3 linked regions of the Notamacropus eugenii genome follow. The main gene of each other region encodes a partner of the protein of the gene in region 3 in a complex. Links are inferred from orthologs where the notes say so. Each region holds a gene or a part of one and is shown on either strand. Other genes may lie near its edges.

Region 1 (6,993 bases), on a different chromosome or scaffold from region 3:
GTCACAAAAGCTAGGGGATTCACACCCTGCTTTCCGGACTCTAAATTGAATGTTGTTTCTACCACATCATAGTGCCCTGGCATGGGGCTTGGGAAAGAAATTCTTTCTGAATGTATGAAATAACCTCTAAAAAGGCATTCTGGTGTAATGGAAGGTTCACTGGACCCAGAAAACCTGAATTCTAGTCTCATTAGTGCTACTAATTTGCTGTATGACCTTAAGCAGATAAATCCCTCCCCCTTACTTGGGACTGGGATTGTCCATCTGTAAAATGGAGGCAGGGATGGACTGGATGCCCTCTCTGGCTCTGGCACTTTGGACAAAGGATTTTGCAAGAGAGTTGGTATGGGGGGATGTCAGTAAAGGTGACCTAACCTAGCTAGTGGCTTTTTCTAAGGGATCAAAACATTTTGAAGTCATCAGCCTGCATATTAAAGGGGCACCAGTGTGTGTTGGGGGCGGGGAGGGAGAAGAAAGGAAGAACTCCACTGACCACAGTGCTGGCCCTTAAGTGGTCCTGGAAACCACAATCAACTCCTTGGAGCTAGGAATTTTCATCATGAAAGCCTTTAAATCCACCAACAATTCTGAGCATCATGTCTCCTCCCTCCCCAAATCCATCAGCCTGAATAATCCTCCAATCACCCCGGTACCATAACCCTGAGAAACAGCATCTCCTTAGAGAAAGCTCCTTCCCAGGTCAGACTCAGGGAACAGTAAAAGCCTCCTGAACTGAGTGACTCAGCCCATTCAACTCAATTTTAGCGAGTTCATGTAATCTTTGGGTCCAGGCCTATCTAATTTCAGGTTTCTCAACAGTCAGGGCTTGTACTTAATCTTATCAGTCTTCCAATCAGAAGCCCTGTGAACTTCTAAGATAAAATGTTTAACAACATGGAGTTTCTAGTGTCCTGGCAAGACTTGGGCTTTTCTGGCTTGTGTCAAAGAAAGAATTACAGGTGGAAGATGAAGCCTGGAAAGGAAAGGACCTTGCTTACTGCTTTGCAACCTGACTAGTGCCCACACTGTTCAATGAAACTAGCAAGCAAGGAACGTCTTGTGGGGCCCTTATGAGCTGTCACACACTTTTTTTTTTTTTTAGCAGATTAACAATAACAATTTACATTTCTATATCACTCCAAGATTTACAAAGCAAAATGACTTTGGGTAAATACCAATCCCATATTACAGACAGCACAACTAAGGCTCAGCAAAAAAGGAGAATATTGATTCAAACCCAGGTCTCAGTCCAATTCCAGAAATCTTTTCACTTCAAAACTAAACTAGTTCATTTTCCAAGTAAACAAATATTTCAACGGGGTGAACACTGTGGAAGAAATATGACTGCCCATATCTTTTGAGTCCCCTACATTTTCGTAACTTGCAGGCATAACAACAGTCCAACCCTATTGGTCAATTACTATTTGAGAAAATGAGATATACTGTCTTTATTTTGAGAGTCACTAAACGTGGAAAGAAGATGACTAAAAGAGGTTTCTTTGGGAGGGGCTTCCAGAAATCCAGAATTTTCCTATTCCAAAGCTTCAGATCTCAGCTACTTCATCAGGAAGTAAGACTCCCTCTGCAAAACTCCTGCCTATCTTCCCTTGAGGAAGAAGGCAGGATCCTACCTTCACCCACCACCCCATTCACCGTAGGAAAGATCAGCAGCCAGGGGATGGATAAATAGGTTCTCTCTCCCCTTCTCTCTCCTACGCATAATGCCAGCTGCATCCCTCACATTAAGCTTGAGGAGATAAAGGGTGCATTGGGAGTAGTGGCTGGAGTTTAAGCAATACTAGGAGGTAAGAATTCCCTACCTACCCCTCAACCAATTCTTAGCCCTAGAAGGGATTTTGGGATATTCTAATCTAGAAACTGCTCCCCATCACCCTCATTTTACAGACGGGAAGCGAAGGCCCACAAGGGCTAGCAACTCACCCTGCTTTTCAAAGGTTTACAAAGTGCTTTTCTCACATCAGCCCTGTCTGTGACAGGCGATGTAAGTATTATTAAGCCTATTTTATGGATGGAGAAAACTGGTCCAGAGATAAAGCGATTTGCCCGCTCTCGGCCAAGCAGTGGGCCAAGAAGCAGGGAAGGATCTGGAACACAAGCCTCCTGCTCTCCATCCGTCTGCGCTGGCCAAAAAGGTGACAGAGACAGGGGCCTGGACTAAATGACCCGGAAGGTTCCTTGCCCTCGGGTGCCCCCGGTCCCCACCCGCTCCGGCTCCCCGTCCTCTCCCCGAGGAGCACTGGCATGTCAGGACCCCAGGGGGACCGGTCGGGAAGGGAAGGCTGAGGACCGAGAGGAACACCCACCCGGGGAGGGGCGGTTCCGCCGTGGGGCCGGCAGGGAGGGGAAGTCACGGGGTGATGCCTCGGTCAGTTCCATCCCATTGAGCCTCGGGTGGGGAAAAAGAGGCCGGAATCTCCCTTTTTCCTGCCCACCCCCACCGGCAACACTGGGAAATGGGGCACTGCCTGCAGCCCCCCGCGGCGGAGAGGAAGCGAAGGCTCGGGTCCCCAAGAGCTCCCGGCTTTCTGGACCCAAGGGCCGGTTCGGTGAAGCAGCCAGGATGGGGTCGGGGGGTCGAGGCGGCGGCCGGCTCCATCCGGGAGGGCTGGGCGGGGAGCGAAGGGGCGGCCCGCACCATCAGGGCGGGGGCGGGGGGGCGCGCGAGGGGGCGGCCGGCACCATCGGGACGGGGGCGGGGGGGTGCGAAGGGGCGGCCGGCACCACCGAGGCGGGCGGGGGGGAGGGGAGCGAGGAGGGCGAGGAGCCGGAGACCGTTACCTGTCGCCGAGGGCGCCGCCGCCCCGCTCTCCACAGCCCATCCTGCCTCCGGAGGAACGGCCCCCGCCTCGGCTCTCTCCGCCTCGTCCGGCACCTCCAGCTCCATCGCCGCTGACGGGCCCGAGGCGAGGCGGGGGCCGGCGGGGGGAAAGCCCCGCCAGGCCCAGCCGGCTCCTCGGCTGAGGGAAGGGAGCTGCCGCCGCCGCCGCCGCCGCCGCGGAACAACAACCGCCGGGAGGGAGAGTCCGGACTGACAAGGGGAGAGGGAGGGAGCGACGGGGGAAGGGGGAGGGAGGGAAGGGAGGGAAGGGATGGGAGGGGGGAAGAGAGGGAGTGGGGAGGGAGGGGGCGGGGCCACGGCCGTGCCTGGTCACGCGCCCTCTCTCCCTGCCAACCGGGGAAGAGATTGGGAGTGGGGAGGGGGCGGGTTGACGTCTTCACGCCGAGGCTGGGAGAGCGCCTCCCCGGGGCGAGCTGGTGGAAGGGCAGCCGCAGGGTCGTACCGAGTGACCCAGGCGGTCCAGGAGGCGGGCGTGGGAAGGAGCCCGAGTCCCCCACGTCCCCAACACATGCCACCCAGGTACCATCATCATCCTACGAATGATGACGGTGATGAAGATAACCAGCGCTTCCACGCGGCGACCCCAAAGGCTCGGTGCTGGCTGGCAAAGCTTGTGAATTAAGTAGTGCAAACTGCTGCTTTCTGCTTGACAGCGCTTTGAAGTTTTCAAAGCTTTTCACAGGTCCCATCTCCTCCTTATCAACACAGCCACCTTGGGAGGGAGGGAGGTGTTCTCATCTCCGTTTTACAGAAGAGGAAGTTGAGGCAGAGAGAAGTCATACGACTTGCCCAGGGTCACACAGCTAGTGATGGTCAGAAGCCAAATTGGAGCTCCAAGCACAGGGGACCACTACATCCAGGGGCAGCTCATTGCCTTTCTTTAAGCTGTGGACATCAAGCATGCTCCTTTCTCCTTCCCACTTCCATCCCCGCTTCTAGAAGCAAGCCCAACGTCTCCTCCATGTGACAGCTAGCTCTTCAGGTACTTGAAGGCAGCTTGGTCCAGACTTGGTCCTCTGGGGAGTCTTCTCTAGGATAAAGGACCCTAGTTCCTTCAGGTAGTCATCATGGCATGAAGGTCACCATCCTATTTGCTTTTCTCTAGATGTCCTTCAAGTGACTTTCTAAAAGGATGTGGCCAGGTTATACATGATACTCCTGAGGTGGTCCGATCTTGGTATAACCCAGAGACATTGTCACTGACTAGTCCTGAATGGTAGACCTTTTTTATTTGCAGTCTAAAGTCAGATTTTTATTTTTTGGCTGCCATTCGACTCACATATGGAACTCTCAATTAACTGAACCCCCTCCTCCCTGTCTTTTTTCAGATGTATTTCTGTCTAACCATGCCTCCCTACAAAGATTATTTTTAAAAATGCAAGCATATGACTTCACGTTGACATTTAGGAAATTGTCTTTTCAATTGAATTGATTGTATTCTTAAAATATTTCTCAAATTATTCCTAAAACCTAATTCTAGGATATTAAAATTATCACTCTCTAATATTAATATATCTTTCTATCAATTTACTTAAACTTATGTACTTAACCCTAAACCATACAAATTTCTGAATCCTATTACTTTCTCTAAAACTCAACACTGATCCCTTGCCTTGATCCTAAAAGGACATACCATTCCTTTCAGTAGGCCTATTCTAAACTTGAATCCATATTCCAGTCTAGCTCTACCTTTGTCCCACAAAAAAAACCCTATCCTTATCTTCTCTTAATCTTTGTTACATAATAATTACTTAATCTTAATCTCTACACTGAGTGTATATGTATCTATATGTATAGGGATATAGTAATAGGTAAAACTATAAATAAATGAAATTGATTTTTTTTAAAGTAGGGGAGTAAAGAAGGAAAAAAATGAGATAAAATCTAGAACTAGGCACAACTTAATTTGTGAGCACCATAAAGGAAGATTCCTTATGAAAAAAGAATCAGGGGCAAAGGGAGAAAAAGCAACTATCATTTGAACTAGATTTTGAATAATAAATAAGTGGAAGGAAGGAAGGAAAGAAAGAAGGAAGGAAGAAGTTCCTGAAACTGAAGTAAAGTACTAAAAATTCTAGGTGCTAGGTATTTTTTTTAAGTGTAATCTAGGATTATTGAGGCCATGTTCTGAATAAAATAAGCAATTTACCTATATAGTAAGGTAAAAAGAGAGGTAAAGCAAGGAAGGAACTGCCCAAGAGATCAGTAGAGAACCACTAAAGAGAATGGATGTCAGATAAGGAAGCAGGAGACCTCTGGCAGAGGTCTTTGATCACATATGGAGGTGGTCAGTGGAAGGTCTTGAGCAGGATGTACAATTAGATGGTGAGAAATGTAAAAGAAACGAGAAAAAGATAATAAAAGAACTCTAGAAAAAGACTCTAGTAGGTCATAGCGAGATTAAGACCCAAATAGACTGAGAAGCAATTAGATTCAGCTCAGCATTCTGGCCCAGCAGGATCTTTTGGGATCCTGACATGTGTTATCTATTTCAGCTTTGTGTCATCTGTACATTTGAGAAGCATGCCATCAGTGTCTTTGTCCAAGTCATGGATAAAAATGTTGGACAACCCAGGGCTCAACCTGCTACTTGTTAGCTCTGTGATCTTGGATACGATGAAATGAGTTTGGACTGTGTGATCACTGAGGATCCTTCCAACCTAGATCTTACAAGTATTTTTGTTTAACAAGAGTCTGGAATATTCACAGACCTCAAAAGTTTACTCTGCTATCCATGTGGACAATGCTGGAGAGAGGCCTGATGACTTGTAGGGGAAGTGTCGTGGAGGGGCAGTGGCTCATGCATGATCCTAGAACTAGTTCTGGTCAGCTAACCACTTAGTGAATGGGATTTTTTTTGATCGTGGCTTCAGTCATCCCTCTACTTCAGACTTTTTGGCTATTATCTTGGTGGAGTGGCTCCACCCATTGAGTCTGATGAAGCAAAAAGAGTCTCCAAGACTGGGAGTTTCAAAAGATCAGAAGAGGAAGCCACCAGACTCTAGAAGTCTGAGTCCAGGCTAGGTTTTACAGCCAGTGCAGTGTCATGTTCTGAGGAGTGACCTATGGGAATAACACTGAACGCAATACAACAACTCTTATACTCTACACCCTTCTTCCCTCTGATACTGCCACTACGCTTGTGAAGGAATTCATAATCTCATACCTGAACTATGGAAATACCCTTTTGGTTTATCTCTCTGCCTCAAGTCTCTCCCCACTCCAATTCATCCTTCACTCAGCTGTCAAATTGATCATCTTTATTTTTAACATTCATTAAAAAAAAATGTTCCAAAATTCCAGATTCTCTCCCTCCCTCTCTTACTCTACCCATGGAAAAGTCAAGCAAGGATAGCAATTATGTATGTGAAATCATGCAAAACCATATTAGCCATATTGCAAATAAATAAAAAGCAAGAAAAAGAGTGAAAAATATTCTTCAATCTACACTCAGTTCATCAGATCTCTTTCTGGAGGAGAACAACTTTTTCCATCATGAATCCTTTGGAATTGTCTTAGATTATTGTATTGATCAGAGTAGCTAAATCTTTCGCATTTGTTACAATATTGCTATTCCTATTTACAATATTCTCTGAGTTTTGCTCATTTCACTTTGCATTAGCTCATGTAAGTCTTCCCAGGTTTTTCTGAAAGCTTCTTGCTTGTCATTTCTTATAGCACAAGGGTATTCCATTGAAATCATGTACCACAACTTGTTCAACCGTTTCCCAAATGATGGGCATCCCCTCAATTTCCAATTCTTTACCACCACAAAAAAGAGCTACTATAAATATTTCTGTACACATAGGGTCTTTTTTCCTTTTCTTTGATTTCCTTGGGATACAGATCTAATAGTGCTATTCCTGGGTCAAAGGGTATGAACAGTTTTATAGCCCTTTGTGCATAGTTCCAAATTGTTCTTTAGAATAATTAGACCATTTTACAACTCCACCAGCAGTGCACTATAGTACACATTTTTCCACATCCCCTCCAGCATTTATCATTTTTCTTTTCTGATGTCAGCTAATCTGATAGATATGGTAGCTCAAAGTTGTTTCGTTTTGCATTTCTCTAATCTGCAGTGATTTAGAACATTTTTTCATGTGGCTATTGATAGTTTTGATTTCTTCTTC
Region 2 (7,491 bases), on a different chromosome or scaffold from region 3:
TGTTAACTAGCAACATCCTCTATCTCAATACATTCTTAGGGGTGTGCTGATAAATTTCCAATAATGAGCTCTCCAAAAATGTACCTATAATATTCTTTCAAGATTAATCTGCATTATCATTTCCTCCATGACTTTCTGAAGTCTAATCAATCAACAAAACAATAAATCTAGTTCTGATTTAAAGTGTTTACAGGTTTCCAGGAGTAAATGCTCAGAATGAAAACCAACAGCAGCCTTTCCTGAGCAAGTTTAAGCTGGCCCCAGTATACTCCTGTCTCTGCTGAGTGAGAATATCTTTGAATTACAAAATCAATCAAAGACATAAAACAATTGTGAATAGTTCCTAGATAGCATCAGTGAAACACCCAATCAAAGGAATAAATTAGATTCCAACAAAGCAGTTAGTCAAATTGTAAGTGAAGTGTTTCCAATCATTGTAATAAATCAGAAAACATATATTGAGATTGGTGGAATAAAATTAGATACACACCTATGCCATATCTGTTAGGAAAGAAGATTCCATTCGGGTCAATGCAATAAGTGCTTTGAGAAATTAGAACCTTGGGGGCTCATGAGCAATGATATTAAGAAACAACCCCCTCATAGTTATTCCTAGAACCCTTAGAGGATAAGCAGTGGTCCATCTTCTGGGGATCCAACCTTCCAGTTTGAGTGGGAGTGAAGCAGGAAGTCGTACTAAACAAAAGTTCTGTTGCTCTGAAATGTATGGGTTATACCAGAGAAGAACTGATACTGAATGCTGCCTTCTGCAATTCTGGATCTGAGATACTCGAATCCTGAAAAGGACTGATCCTGGTTCTAAAATGCTTCACATTCTTCTCCACAGTGGGTTTTCCAAATCTGTCCTGTCAAGACTATCTCCAGACTTGGCCACTATGATTCTGTCTTTTTCCTCTTTTTCCTCTGTCCCTGAGGTTCCTCCTCCCATTGGTAAGTTCCTCACAGAAACTTCATTATGAGGAAGGGCCCTGACCAGCCATCCTTCCTCCTCTAGACTTTGCCACCAGGCCCCAGGTGAGGTCTTCTCCACCTTCTGTCCCCTTTTCAGCTCCTTTCATGTGTTATCTTCTCAAATTAGAATGTAATTGGCTTGAGGGCAAGGACTGAACTTCTCTTTGCATGTATTAGTGTCCCTAGTGCATACTGTTTGTTTTTGTTTGTCCCTCGTTCTTGAAGAGGACCAAGCACATCAGGAAGGTGGTACCATGACACTCAAGTGAATTGGATTCAAGTGAGGAGGCAGCCTCACTTTCTCCTCCAGAGCCATCTGGGTCCAGTGACCAGATACAGATCAGGATGGATGGAGATGGCCCAGGATGCAGTAGGGGACCCTGGTATTTTCCAGTTAAAGTCTTTTCCAGGTCTCATGAGGCAACACGCATTCAGTGATTGAGACTAAATAGAGGCAAGCCCTACTGCATAGCACAGTGGCTGGCACAGAGTAAGTGCTTAATGAATGTTTCTTAATCTGCCTTGATCTTAATCTGCCTTGAAATAAAACAAGGCTACTTTGATGGGGATAGAAGGAGGGGCTCTACCCAGAAGTGGATGAGCACTAAATCCATCAAAGTCTAACCACTCTAACTGGGTATCCTACACATTTGTTTTATCCAGCTCCTGTTGAGACCTCACTGCAACAAGGCAATCTTTTCTTCCTCCTTAATTATCTCACTCCCCACAGGAGTTATTCCAAACATTCTCTTCTCTCAAACCTCCCACACCTTCCCTTCTCCCCCTCTTCTCAGCTGAGGTGCTCTCTCTCATTCAGGTCATTGTTATGAGCTCCCTCTTCTTTCCTTTTCTTCATAACACTGTTTCCCTCAATCTTTGATGAAGTGACCCTTCTTCTGGTCAGGGTCAATTTCTTCACATGAACCCTTGATCCCATCCCTTATTTTTTCCAGAAGACTGTTGCCTTAGCCATCCCTTCTCTTTCCCTATCTTCAGTCTTTTCCTTTCTAGTGGTTCCTTCTGTACTGCTTTAAATTTTGCCCAAAGGAGGAGGAGGAAGACCAGCTAGGAGCACAGGTCCTGTAATCAAGAGAACCTGAGTTCAAATCCAGCCTCAGATACTTATTAACTGTGTGACCCTGGGCAAGTCACTTAACCCAGTTGCCTCCAAAAGACAAAAAACAAAACGTAAAAGAACTTCAAAAGACTCTATAATCCCTTCAAGCTATCATTTATTTCTCTCCATCTTTTCTCAGCCAAATTTCCCAGAAACACTATCTATACTAATTTCTTTCACTTCCTCTTCTTTTACTCCTCAGTTCTTTGCAATCTGGCTTCTGAAGTCATTAATTAACCCAAACTGCTCTCCTTAATGTTACTAAAGACTTCTTAATTACAGATTCTGGTGTGTTTTTTTCTCATTCTTTTGTTTTTTACCTCTCTGACACATTATTAATTACCCTCTCTTCCTAGATACTTTGCTCTGGGTTTTTGTGACATTATTCTCTCTTAGGTTGTCTTCCTACTGGTCTGACCACTTCTCAGTATCCTTTGCGAGCTTGCCATCCATATTAAATACTCTATCTGTGGATACTCCCCAAAGTTCTATCCTGGGGCTTCTCTTCTCTCTCTACATTCTTTCAGTGACTTCAGATACATGCACGAGTCATCTGCAGGAGGATGATAATATATACACATATACATGTATATAATATATACTCACATACATGTATACACATGTATATAATATGTACTCACATACATGTATATGCACATGTATACATGCCTAATTATATATGTCCATACATATATATATACATACATACCTGCATGCATACATATATATTCATGTCTATATCCAGCCACAATCTCTCCTCTGAACTAGCTTCAATTGGGTATCACAGCCTATTGGACACTGGAGACATCTCAAACTCAACAACTCCAAAATAGAACTCGTAACATCCCCTTCAAAAAATTAACTTTCTTCCAGACGTCCCTATTTTTACCAAAGGAACCACCATTCATCCATTCTCCCAGGTGGTACCTTTGGTATCATCCTTGATTCCTCCCTATCTCTCACCCCATGCAGTCAGTCAGTTGTCAAGTCCTTCTATTTCTACCTCCACAACACTTTTTGAATTGTACACTTAGCTAGCAGCATAGCTACTACCTTAGATCAGACCCTTATCAGTTCCCACAAATACTACTGAAATGGCTGCCTCTCCATGGCTGCCATAATGTTATTCCTTAACTGCAGGTTTAACCATGTGCCCCCCAGCCCAATCTAAAGTCTCTATAATTAAATATAAACTCCTTTGTTTGGCTTTTAAAGCCCTTCCCAATCTTTCCCCAAACTTTTGCCAGTCTTACTACCCATAACTCCACCCATAACATCCATTTCAAACTGTTTTTCTCTTGCTGCCATCTCCATGTCTTTCACTGGTCACTTCCTGTGCTTGAAATGCCCTCTTTCCTCACCTTCACCACTTTCTACAGGATGCCTTTCCCAATTTCCCTCCTTGACAACTTTGTATTTAGTCTGCATATTCTTACATATGCTCCTATCTCTTTCTTAATGGAATGTAAGGACCTTCAGAATAAGGATGGTCTCATTCTTTGTATCAGTATCTCCAGTAGCCAGAACAATACTTGGCAGGCAGTGAGCACTTAATAAGCTCTTTTTGATTGATTGATCCAATGACTTCTAAGGTCCCCTTCCTGCTCTAAATTCATGCTCCTACAAGGAACAATGTAAGGAAAAAAATGTTAGAGGTGAGGAGAAAGTTGTTTTAAAAAAAAAATCTCTCTTTGGCTGGGCACACTTTCTGGATGATGTGGGAAGGTCTTGTGCCAAGGGTGAAGAGGTAGGGAGATGGTGCAGACTAATAAGGAGGTCCTTGGAAGGAAGGAGAGGAGGTGGGTGGCTAACAGTCATAGCTAGGGGATAGAGGCTGGACATGGCCTTAGGTAGGCCTAAGCTCAAACACTGCCTTCCTCCCTGCCTCCCACTAACCTGTGACCCTGGGGAATCATTTAAACTCCCACCACCTCCCACTGTATCAAACTGGCATCTGAAAACCTGACTCTGAAAACCTTAAAAGACTGGATAAATACTAGATATTATTAACCTGCCTGCTAGCTGTGGCTGTGGAAGGTGACTACATGATCCAAGGTGGTGCTTGGGACTTGGAATTAGGAAAGACCTGAGTTTAAATCCAGTCTTTTCTTGGCCTCAGTTTCCCCAACTGTAAAATAGGAATAATGGCAGTTATTGCCAGGATCAAATGAGTTAATACGCGTAAAGTGTTTTTGCAAACTTGACAGTTTTATACAAAGGTTAGTTCTTATTATCCTTCGCTTTGGGAGGAATAAGGAGGTATGGGAAGGGGAGCAGACGCTGCAATTTGGGGGGGGGGGTGTCTAACCCCCTACACCCAAGAAAGCTCCGCAGTTTCCGCGTCCCTGGCTGGCTGTCGGGCGGCACTTCTGCTGGGAACTTACTTCAGTGAGACTCCGAAAGAGGAAGCGCCGAGCTCGAGGGCTGCAGGAAACCCAGTAAAGAGCAGAGGAGGTTGCCCAATGACTTCGGAGCACGGATGTGACTTGTCCCCTGCCTCCGCTCCAGGAGCCCGGAGAGTGGACCGGGCCTGAGCGAGGAGCCCCGTTTGCCAGAAAGGGGAACTGTCCAGCCTCGGGCGACCGCAGAGGCCAGGGTAACCGTACTACTCCCCGCACCCCTCAGGCGGAGAAGAGAGAAAGAGGAAGGGCCAGTGTAGATTAAGTGCGCCCCACCTCTGCCGATCCGCTATCCGGCGCTTGGGCTCTGTGCTCGCCGCCCGCGTTTTTACGCACGTGCGAATTTGCCACTTCAAGCCCCCGAAAGGCTCCCGGGGTGGGGGGTGGGACGGGGGGACAGGACTGAGCGACTTCCTCCCGGGAGCCAGCCGCAGACCTCGCAGCCCTAGCTCGCCAGGGGACTAGCTGAATCCTCCGTCCGTCTCAGCGCAGGAGCGACCGCGCCCGAGGCTCGCCAAGGTAAAGCTCCGTGTGAGGCGGGCGCGGGGGTGCCAGGGCGTCTCGGGCTGGGACGCCTGTGCCCCTCACCCCACTCCAGACCCAGGGTGCCCTGGAGAAGAGGCACCCAGCCCCCTTCCATTGGGGTGGGGGACCGCTATCAGCCTCCCCAGGTGCCCCCCGACCTTAGCGCCCCTCTCATTTTCGGGGGATTTCCACGTACGGGGAATTTACTCCTTAAAGAAGTGGGAAAAAAAGGGGCGCCCTTCCGCCATCCTCGCTCTCACTGCACCCGAAACTCGCTCGGGTGCTCGGCGGCCTGGCCCGAGATCTGTTTCACCAAATTTGCACAACTTCCTGCCAAGGAAATTGCTCAAAGTTTCTCCCAGTTTTAACACTGAGAAGCGGCATGAAGGCAGAACAGCCGACCCGTCGGATAAACCTAGAGCTTGTCTGGGAGGGAGCCTTGGGCTGGCTTTCATTCTGGTCTGGACCCTGTTGGCGATCTTAGCTCCACGGATAAGATTCATGGGGGGAGAGAATTGGAGAGATTTTGTGCCTAGGCATTGATTCTTAGCATTTGCCACCAAAGAACCCGAATGGCGCTAAAGACCCAGGTAGCTTTCTCCTGCTAGGATTTCTTCTCCGAATAATCTAATTTTTTTTCTTCTGAAGACCACTTCCTTTGGGCAAATGAGATAACATGTAAAGCCCTTTGCAAATCTTCTATCTTGTTGTTAAAAGCATCATCTTTTTTCCTTTAAGTGCAAAAAAAGTATAATTCAGGAAGTCAGTTGGCAACAGCCCTTTATTGTTAATGAGAATAAATCGTAAGGGTAAATTTTATATTTTACCAATAAGTCAAAAAACTTTAGTACTTTGTATGTTCCAGGCAATCAGCTAAGTCACTGGGGATAGACAAATGAAAATGCTGCAGCTCTTTCCCTCAACGAGTTTGCTTTTTATAGCAACGTCAGCTAACTATCTATCAGGAACTTGAGGCAGGTGGCTCAAGCTTTCCAGTTATGTGCGGTCGAATTGATAGTCTCCCATTGAAACGAATGGTGTGAGGGAGGCACGTGGTTGTGCTCTTTTACACTTTGTATGGTGAAGGTGCCCCCACATCTGCCCACAGTAAAGGAACGAGTCAGAAAAACAAAATTAGACTATTCAGAGAAGTACAGGAGTAACATGGAAACCCAATCCTTATTTAACAGCCATTTGAGTTTCTTGGTGTAGCAACTTTTAAGGCAGTGTCAAGTGTTAAAGGCAAGAGTAAATTTAAATTTGAAGACTTTCTTCAAAAATTTTAGACCATGACTCATTGTGTCACTTATACAATAGACAACTCTATGTTTCTCTGGTAGTTTTACAGTAAGGAAAGGGATTTTGGGGCAGCCTTAGAGATTTGGGGTGAACTTCATACTGATATAGTTTTGGGGAGGTATATATGCCAACTTTGAAAAATGGGGTGTGAGATTTGTTTATTTAATTTGTTTTGACTCAATTAAAATTATTCATTAAAGTATTTTCAAAGAAATTCAAAGATCTCTAGCATTAAAAAAAAATTTTTGTCTCTTAAAACCAAAATGTCACATTCTCTATGGTAAAGACACAAGTATATTGAACTGGGGAATCAGGATACCTGGATGGTCATCGCTCTTTCATCTCTAACTAGCGTGACTTTAGACAAGTCATTTAGACTTTTTAAGCCTTAGGTTTTTGGTTTTCTCCACTGTAAAAAGTTAGAGATCTTTAAAGCCTCTTCAAACTCTGACTGTATTTAGATTACCATATAAAGAATTACTAGTTACCTTACAAACTTAAAGGTCTGCATAACCTCATTCCAGATGGAAAAAATAATGCAAAGAGAAACTGACAAATTTATTGATTCATTTACAGGTCTTTGCTTCTGAGAAGTCCAGAGTATTTTGATAAGTAGTTATTTAGCCCTCAAAGTATATTATATCTCTTGGTTATGAGATGAGCAGGCCTCTATTTAAGAGATGGAACTACTGAGATAAAGAATTGACTTACCCAAGGTTCTGTAGAGAGCCTGTCTTATTAGTTAAGGGAGAGTTTGGTCACAGAGAATAGATTCTAGGTCTCCAGCATGATTATCACTAAAGAAACACAATTTTCTAATGTAGATCCTCTTTTGCTGACAGCTCTGCTTAATCCAAAATTCAGTGTCTAATTTCCTTCCAGTTTATTTGTCTCATTAATATATTTTTGTATTTAGGATGTGTACTATGTTAAAAGACTCCTGTCCTGCCTTTAATTACCCTATTTTTATTTTTGCATTTTTATTTTAATTATTAATTATTCATATGTTTGTGCACTTTGGTTTGTTTCCTGTCTTCTCCATTAGATTGTGAATTTCTTGAGGCCAGGGACTGACTGTCTTTTGCTTCTTTTTGTATCCCCAATATTTAGCACAGTGCCTTGTGCATGGTAGGTGATGAATAAATATCTACTGACTGTATCCATGCAGTTTTAGAAAAA
Region 3 (7,650 bases):
GTTCTGTGGTTACTTACAAATTCTGCTTCTCCAAGAGCTGCACTTTCTTCTGTAACTCCAGGTTCTGGGCTGTGCAAGCCAAGACCCTGGAATAACCATGGAAACAGCATGTCCTCAGTCATCTCCCCCTTTTAATATGACATCCCCTCCCCATCCATCCTCTTCTCTCCTTTCCCCAGCCCCTGACATACCTACTTTCTAGCCCTCCCACATACACTTTCTTCTTCCTTCTACTTTCTTGAGCAGATTGTTTGTTCCGAATCTTTCTCCGAACTTGTTTCAAGGCTCGCTCCTCTGCCTGAGTCAGAGATTGGAACAAGGAAGGAGAGAATCCATCAGTAACAGAATTTTGGTCTTGAAAAGTAATTCAGATATGACTTAGTTCAACTCAACCGGTGTAGGAATCCCTAATCATCTAAACCTTTGCTCTAATGCTTTGTCTAGTGTTTAAAAAAAACAAAAAAAAAAACCTCTACCTCAAAACTCTTTCAACTGTCATTAAGCCAAAAATCTAACAATGTAAAAAACTCTGCCTCCTTTTAATTTCTATCCACCAGTCTCAGTTCTGAGTTTTGGGACTACATAGGATAAGAATTGTTCTATGTGAGTTATCTTCAGACATCTTAAAATAATCAAATCTCATTTCCAGACTATAAACCTCTTTAAATGTTCTCATGACATGGTTTCCATGTCACCTTATTGATTTTGTACTCATTCATGTCTTTAAAATATGGCATCCAGAACTGAACATAATATTCCATAAAGCCTAGCATAAGAAAGGTTTACATTGGGGCGGGGAACCTGTAGCCTCTAGGCCACATGTGGTCTACTTGGTCTTTAGGTGCAGCATTTTGACAGAGTCCGAGTTTCACAGAACAAATCCTTTTATTAAGGGGATTTGTTTTGTGAAGTTTGAATTCAGTCAAAGGGCTGCACTTGAGGACCTAGGGAGCTTGAGGCCAGAGGTTCCTCACCCCTGGTTTACATCATCTATTTAAGCTCCTACCTGAAGCACAGATTTTCTCTGCCACACTCCGAATAAATGGGACATCCAATCTTTGAAGACATGACAGGACATACTAACTCTCAAAGCAGCTTGTACTACATTTGGACAATATACCATTAGAAAGTTCTTAACTTAAATCAGAATCTGGTAAATGTCATCTGTTGGTTTAATTCTATTGCCTGGGACCAAGAACAAAAAAGAATCCCTCCAGCTAATGACTGTCCAAATGTGTAAAGACAAGCTGTTATTCATCTATACACACACCAGCTTCCCAATGGCCTTCCTAAACTATGGTTCTTAGATCTGAAGATGATGTCTTCTAAATGTGCCCTGGTCAGGGCAAAAGGACATGAGGACTAATAATGCAACTTTGGATCACTGGCTTTTTTTTTTCTGATTTGTCACACTTTTGACTTACATTGAGCTTGCTAAAATACCCAAGTCCTTTTCACGTAAACTACTATTTTATGTCAGAGGCCTATTCATTGAATGGGTGTATCTCACTCAGAGTGAGAATGTGATAAGACCTTGGCTTAAAAAGGTCAAGGTCTCACACTGCATTCTGAGCCATCTCCAGTCATCCTGATGAATATCTGGTCACTGGACCCAGATGACTCAGGAGAAGAAAGTGAGGCTGGTGACCTTGCCCAGCCCTCCCTCACTCAAATCAAAGTCAAGTGCAAGTCATGTCATCATCTTGATGTCATGGTCCTCTTTGAGAACGAAGGACAAACAACTATTTTATATATCTCCCATCCTAAATTCACGAGGTTGATTTCTTTGAGCCCAAGTGTAAGACTACATTTATTTCTATTAAATTTCATCATCTTAAACTAGGCCTGCTGAAACTATTTAGGTTATTGATCTAAAGACTAGCCCCCTGCTAATAATATTAGCTATCCCTCCATCACTGAAAATTTTGTCAAGAGGTCATCTGTGCCTTCACGATATTGAACAAAAAGGCCAAGGAGACAGCATCCGAGCACTCCACTGGAGTTTTCCCTCCAAGCTGAGTTCATTCCAAATTTACCTATCTGTACTATTGTATCTGGTTCTATCTCCCCACCTTATCTAAAAGGCTATCAAATGCCATGCTGAAATCTAGATATCGTGTCCAAATCATTATTCTGATCTACCCATCAAAGGAAATGAGTCTAGTCTGGTCATCATATTCTTAATAAACCCATAATGACTCAGCCTAACCATGGGATTTTTCCATCTGACTAGCAGCTGAAAGCTTCCGTATGTGTTGTCTCCTCTATTCAAAAGGTGAATTTCTCGAAAGCAGGGGCCATCTTCCATTTGTACCTCCAGCACTTATTTAATCATTCTTTCATTCATACGTACTGATCATCACTTTTAGATTCAGTTTAACAGCAAATGCTATAGCCACCCTATTCATCAACAAGCATTTATAAAGTGTTCACTATGCTCCAGGCGCTGTGCTTCCTTTTGGAGGATACTATACTTTTATTAATGCTTCCCAGAATGTCTTAGTTTTTTTTTTAGAAACCACTTCACCGTGCTGTTTCATATTGAAGCAATCAGCTAAAATCATCAAGTCTTTTTCACAGCAATTGTTAAGAAACATCTCCCCCTTTCCTATATTTGTGCAATTGTCCTCTTGAACTTACTTGGAGTTGCCATTTCTAAGTTTAATCATATTAGCTTGGGCACGTTGTTTCTGTTGAGGTATTTTGAAATGTGATTCGGACATCTGGAACATTAGCTATCCCAGGTTTGTTGCCCATAAATTTGAAAAGCAGACCTTTTATGGCCATCCTCAAATGGTACCAGGCATGATACCCGTGACCATGAAGGAGTCTCACCTTAGTAAGGGGGAGAGTCTCAGGAAGGGTCAACCCTTCTTTCTGTAGCAGCCTCTTCTCTTCATCTGTCAGTATCAACTGAGGAAACTCGTGCTGGAGAAAACAGGAAAATGACATGTGACAGGGAGGGACCAAGGAGTAAATAAAGTGGGAAGAAGACATCTGGAGCTTGAGGAGAGAGAAGTGTGGGGTTGATCAAAGCATCCTGATATTATCAGAGGTGATCATCTCCCCCTTACTATTAATGTTTGCCCCTCCTCCAGATACCTGCAGTGTCATTTCTTCCATCTGCAAGGAGACCCTTGATTCTTGAGCCACATCTCTGAGACCATCATCATCTGCAGGAGGAAAATAATTAGAACCAAGAGCCCTGGGCTCCTAGTTTCATCCCCCTTTCCATGTCCCTCCCTCAGAATCCTCTTTCTGCCTTCCCAGTCACTACCTACCCGCATACATGATTCCCCTTTCCCAGCTTACCCAGGTCAATGTAGACATCATCTTGGGAGGAACCTTGTACATTCCAGCTCAGAGAGTAAGTGTGATCAGTGTGAATGAAGCTGTAGCTAGGAGGACTTGGGAGGGATGGTGAGGTGGGGGGTCCCAGCAGAGACATCAGGAATTCTTCTGCTTCCCACTCATTCAGCACCTATACAGCCACTTAGTTCAGAAGCAGGCCTTGCTCCTCTCCTCCCAGCTTCCTGTCCCAACTCTCCTTGGAATCTCTCCTCTTCATTTATAGCACCACCATTACCCCAACCAAGGCTAAGCCTGGCCCAGCCCCTACTCACCTCAGGAGGCAGCATCCCATCATCCTGCTGGTCCTCTTCCCTCTCCCCAAGGATTTCCCATAGATCTCCCCCTTCCTCCTTCAGGAAATCCAGCAGGTCGTTGTCACCTGGGTCCAGGACAGGCTCCATGGTGGACATCTAGAAGAAGGAGAAGGAATCACCATCCGCATCCTGATCCTCTTTTCCCCTCCAAAGGGTAGAAGGTGAAAGGCGGTCAGTCAACATTCATATTAAGCCCTTACAATATGCCGAGCACAGAGAATACAAAGAAAAGCAAAAGCCGTCCCTGCCATGGAGGAGCTCTGTCTGTTCTCTCCGGCCCCCCATCATAGAGCCCCAGAGGGGGGACGTTGGAAGCAGAGGGCCAGGGTCGGCCCGGCCCTGCCCCGGCCCCAGCCCCCCCCCCCCACACACACACACCCCGCCCCCCAAAGCAGAGAGCACCGGCACGCCCTCCCACCTACCCTGGAGGGCTGGAATGGCCACTTCTCCGCCTCCTCGGCCAGGTTTCCAACCCCACCCCTCGTCTGCTCCCTTCCACCTCTACGCGAACTGGCCAAATTTGGGGTTCTACTTCCCCTCGGGCCGTCTCTCCCCAGCCCGGACAGCCTCTCCCAAACCCGACCCAGCTCCAGCCTTCCAACACCACAAAAATGACGTCAGCCAGAAGGCCGCGGCATGCTGGGAGATGTAGTTCCCCCACGCCCGCCCGGATGTAGCCCGCACTCCGACTGCTGTCATGTATCCCCGAGCCTCGTACCCCTCGCCAGGCTTTCCGTTCCTGAGGTCGATCGGTCCCGCTCTGTGCACACGCAATGAGTTTTCTTTGTTCGTTTAGGTTTTATTGATGCCTTTCGTTTCCTGACAGCCACCAGCCCCCTCCATTGAACACAGGCGGGGAGCAAACACCACGTTCCGCACCCGTGGCCCCTCACCTCTGCACCAACAGAAAGTGCGGTCGCGACGTGAATCGGCGGTCAGGTACTTTCGAGGTGGTTTACAAAGGTGTGAGTGACGACGTGTTCGCTGTCCCCGTGACCACCCACGCACGCCCTTCGCAGACCGCTGAGAGCGCCCCTCCCTGCCTCTGTCACACACACACAGGGGCTTCCCGCTGGCCTCCCTGTCCGCGCGTGTCCCCAACTTTCCCGAGCCCACGCGAAGGGCGTGAGCGACCCCCACGAGCATCAGAGGGCAGGCGGGGCCCTTCCCTGGGGCGGAGGGCGGAAGGGGGAGCTCCCGGGTCTGCTGGGGAGACTCACACATGACACATGCCCTGCAGACGGAGGGGCTCGGTCAGGCCGGGAAGTCTCGGGGAAACAGGTGGGTCCGCTTTCGTCCGCCGGGCTCTCCGCGGGTCTGGGGCTGAGGAGGGGGCGAGAGGCGGGCTTCCCGCGGGGCGCGCCTCCCGGGCCCCGCCCCCCCGCCAGGGAGGCCCCGCCCCCCCGCCAGAGCAGCCCGCAGCACAGCGAGACGGGGCGGAGTGCGCCTCGGGTCCGCTAGGCTGCGCGCGGTAACGGAGCCGCGGCCCGCGCCGCGCATGCGCCGCCCTCGCTGCAGGGGAAGTTGCCCGGGTCTCCGGGCCGGCTCCCAGGCATAGAGAGCGGGGGCCAGAGCAGCTTCCTGCAGCAGCCAGGGCCGTAGAGGGGCGGGCCCAGGGCGCCGCCCACGGGTGGGGGGGACGCGCTCCGGGGACGGAAGTGGCGGAGAGTTCGTCAGTCGGCGGGAGGGCGAGGCCGGACCCCGGACCCGGGAACCTGGAGAGCGAACGAGTGAGTGACCTGGAGGGCGGGCCAACGAGCGAGAGGTCCCCGCACGGCCCAGGTAGGGCCGAGGCGGTGCCGAGCGCGGGGCGGGACCAGGAAGGACGGGACGGCGGCGGGAAGGGGCAGGGCCGGGCGGGGGGAGGGGACTGGATCCGGGGGAGGGGGCCCGGCCGCGGCGGAGGGTGGGGGGGGGGAGGGGGAGGGGGGAAGGCAGGGGTCGAGCGGAGGCCGCAGCCTCGGTCCGCAGCCAGGGCGGTCAGGGTGGGCGCCGCCGCCGGCTCCCTCCTTGGCCCGAGAGGTCAGGGTCCGGGTGTGTCCATCCTGCTTGTCCAGCTGCTTGGCGGGCGGAGTTGTGGTACCCGGGATGCTGGGGGGCGACAGTTATGGGGTAGCGGGGCGAGGCTGACGGGCCTGGGCTGTAAAGCTGGGGTTCGGGAATAGGGGGGAGCGGATCGTGGGGACGGGGGAGGTGAGGCGGGCCAGGACGGGGGACCCGGCTGGGCTTAGCGGGGTGGGGTGGGGCAGATCGGGAGGGCTCCAAGGCCGGGTGGGAGGGTGTTCGCTGGTCCGGGCTGCGGGGTCCGGAGCCGGGATGGCGTGCCTGGGTTTGGCGTTGGCCGGGTAGGTTCGGAGATGCAGGCTCAGGTGCGCCCCAGGTTTGGGGGAAGTTCGAGTTAAATGGGGTTGGAATTTGGAGCCGAGTATCCGATGGACGTTGGAGGTGTCCTGAGGATAACAGGAGAGATGTGCTGGCCCTTACTGGTTATTGAGATTGTGGGGCGACAAGTATGGAAGCGCTTCTTCTTGCCGGGTGCTGTGACAAGCCCTGGAGGCACAGAAAAAGGCGAAAACAGCGTCCCCGCCCGAAAGGAGCTCGAAGTATGATAGGGGAGACAGCGTGCAGACGTCTGTGTGCGGGCAAAATAGTGCGGAGTGATGGAGGATAATCTCAGAGCGAGGCATTGTGCAGTGAGAGGGCAAGCAGGTGGGATTTGAGCTGAGGCTTGAAGGAAATCAGGGCAACCTGGTTAAGATTTAGGCTCATGACAAATAGGCAAGCTCTACACTCAGGATTTTTGTTTTTTAGATCACTGTTAGAATACAGAGGGCAAGTTACGGCTAATATTAGGGATAGCATCAGGATTCACAGGTTTGGATAGTCAGGATTAGTTTGTGGGTCAGTGTTGGGGATTGTAGGATCATAGGTTTAGAATTGGAAAGGGTTAGTCAGGAATCAAATTAAAAGTCAGGGGTAGCACTTGAGTTTCGGGTCTGCATTACGGATGAATTTATCTTCCAAGAATCAAATTAGGCTTCAGGGATTAGGAATGGCATTGGTGTTTGTGGAGGGCGGTTAGCCAACCATGAGTCAACTAGCACTTGATAAGTGCTTGCTGTGTGCCAGACTTTGTGCAATGAAAAATACAAAGAAATGCAAAAAAGAAAATCTAGTTCCTGCCCTCAAGGAGCTTACATTCTGAGGAGGAAGCTTCATGAAATAAGTACCTAAAGAAGATATATAGAGTGAGTAGGAAGACCTCTGAGAGGGGAGATTACTAGCAGCTAGGGGAATCTGGAAAGGCCTACACCACAAAATGGAATTTGAGCTGAATTTTGAAGAAAATAGAGAAAACTTAAGAGTTGGAGGTAAGCAGATAGAGCATTCCAGGCTTGGGGAACAACCAGTGAAAAGGCAAGGAAACTGGAGAACAGCTAGGAGACCAGGCTAGCTGCGTGGTAGAGTTCACAGAGAAAAGACTGAAAAGGTAAAAACTCTAAATGCCAAATAGAGTTTAGATTTGATCAGGGATCCAAAAATTGGGATCATTGTTAGGATGAAAGGATGTGAGTAAGGGTTAAGGATAGACGTCAGTAGTCAGTGATTGGTTCAGGCATCATTGGTAGGCCATTGGGAATATCTACTAAATAATGATTTTCCACTTAGGGTCAGTGTTTGAAGTCGTTAATGTTAAGGAGATGAGAGTTAAAGGTCAGTGATTTTTTTCAGAGTCAGCATTAGGGTTCAGGAATTGGGTTGAATGTTTTGGTTAGTCATAGGTTAGCATTAGATTTAAATGGTTAGGAATCAGAAAGAGAGTTAGCTATTTGGACTAGGCTAGAAATAAGTCCAAAGGTTTAGGATTAAGGGTCAGGGTAAGAGTGAGTCAATGATCAGATCAGAATCAGTATTGAAGTTCAGGGATTAAATTCTGAACTCAGGCTTAGGATCATGGTCAGTTTGAAAGATCGTGGCCTACAGC

Evidence for each region.
Region 1: the proteins of TLN1 (region 3) and PIP5K1C are in contact, whole or in part, in a crystal structure (PDB 1Y19), measured with the Mus musculus proteins. The link is inferred for Notamacropus eugenii from reciprocal best matches to the Homo sapiens genes TLN1 and PIP5K1C. Residues at the interface, in NP_035732.2 of Mus musculus: Pro209, Val210, Gln211, Leu212, Leu214; in NP_032870.2 of Mus musculus: Pro646, Leu647, His648, Tyr649, Ser650, Ala651.
Region 2: the proteins of TLN1 (region 3) and APBB1IP are in contact, whole or in part, in a crystal structure (PDB 4W8P), measured with the Mus musculus proteins. The link is inferred for Notamacropus eugenii from reciprocal best matches to the Homo sapiens genes TLN1 and APBB1IP. Residues at the interface, in NP_035732.2 of Mus musculus: Leu1492, Ala1495, Thr1496, Val1498, Ala1499, Thr1502, Ser1503, Cys1506, Asn1507, Arg1510, Val1526, Ala1529, Lys1530, Ala1533, Asn1534, Thr1536, Ala1537, Val1540, Ile1543, Lys1544, Asp1547; in NP_062329.2 of Mus musculus: Asn5, Ile8, Asp9, Met11, Phe12, Thr14, Leu15, Glu18, Met19, Leu21, Leu22, Ser25.

Annotation. Positions count from the first base shown.
Region 1 is NC_092875.1:54,375,567-54,382,559, reverse strand, and holds the start of PIP5K1C (phosphatidylinositol 4-phosphate 5-kinase type-1 gamma), read right to left. Parts: upstream 3,101-6,993; 5' UTR 2,906-3,100; coding exon 2,800-2,905; intron 1-2,799. UniProt on the Homo sapiens protein: Catalyzes the phosphorylation of phosphatidylinositol 4-phosphate (PtdIns(4)P/PI4P) to form phosphatidylinositol 4,5-bisphosphate (PtdIns(4,5)P2/PIP2), a lipid second messenger that regulates several cellular processes such as signal transduction, vesicle trafficking, actin cytoskeleton dynamics, cell adhesion, and cell motility.
Region 2 is NC_092874.1:67,270,403-67,277,893, forward strand, and holds the start of APBB1IP (amyloid beta A4 precursor protein-binding family B member 1-interacting protein), read left to right. Parts: upstream 1-4,480; 5' UTR 4,481-4,685; exon of another isoform or gene 4,686-5,007; intron 5,008-7,491. UniProt on the Homo sapiens protein: Appears to function in the signal transduction from Ras activation to actin cytoskeletal remodeling. Suppresses insulin-induced promoter activities through AP1 and SRE. Mediates Rap1-induced adhesion.
Region 3 is NC_092872.1:79,292,704-79,300,353, reverse strand, and holds the start of TLN1 (talin-1), read left to right. Parts: upstream 1-4,554; 5' UTR 4,555-4,604; intron 4,605-4,885; exon of another isoform or gene 4,886-5,447; intron 5,448-5,578; exon of another isoform or gene 5,579-5,699; intron 5,700-5,721; exon of another isoform or gene 5,722-5,744; intron 5,745-7,650. Other genes in the region: CREB3 (cyclic AMP-responsive element-binding protein 3), read right to left, coding at 18-86, 192-298, 2,836-2,928, 3,103-3,173, 3,313-3,481, 3,624-3,761, 3,866-3,916. UniProt on the Homo sapiens protein: High molecular weight cytoskeletal protein concentrated at regions of cell-matrix and cell-cell contacts. Involved in connections of major cytoskeletal structures to the plasma membrane.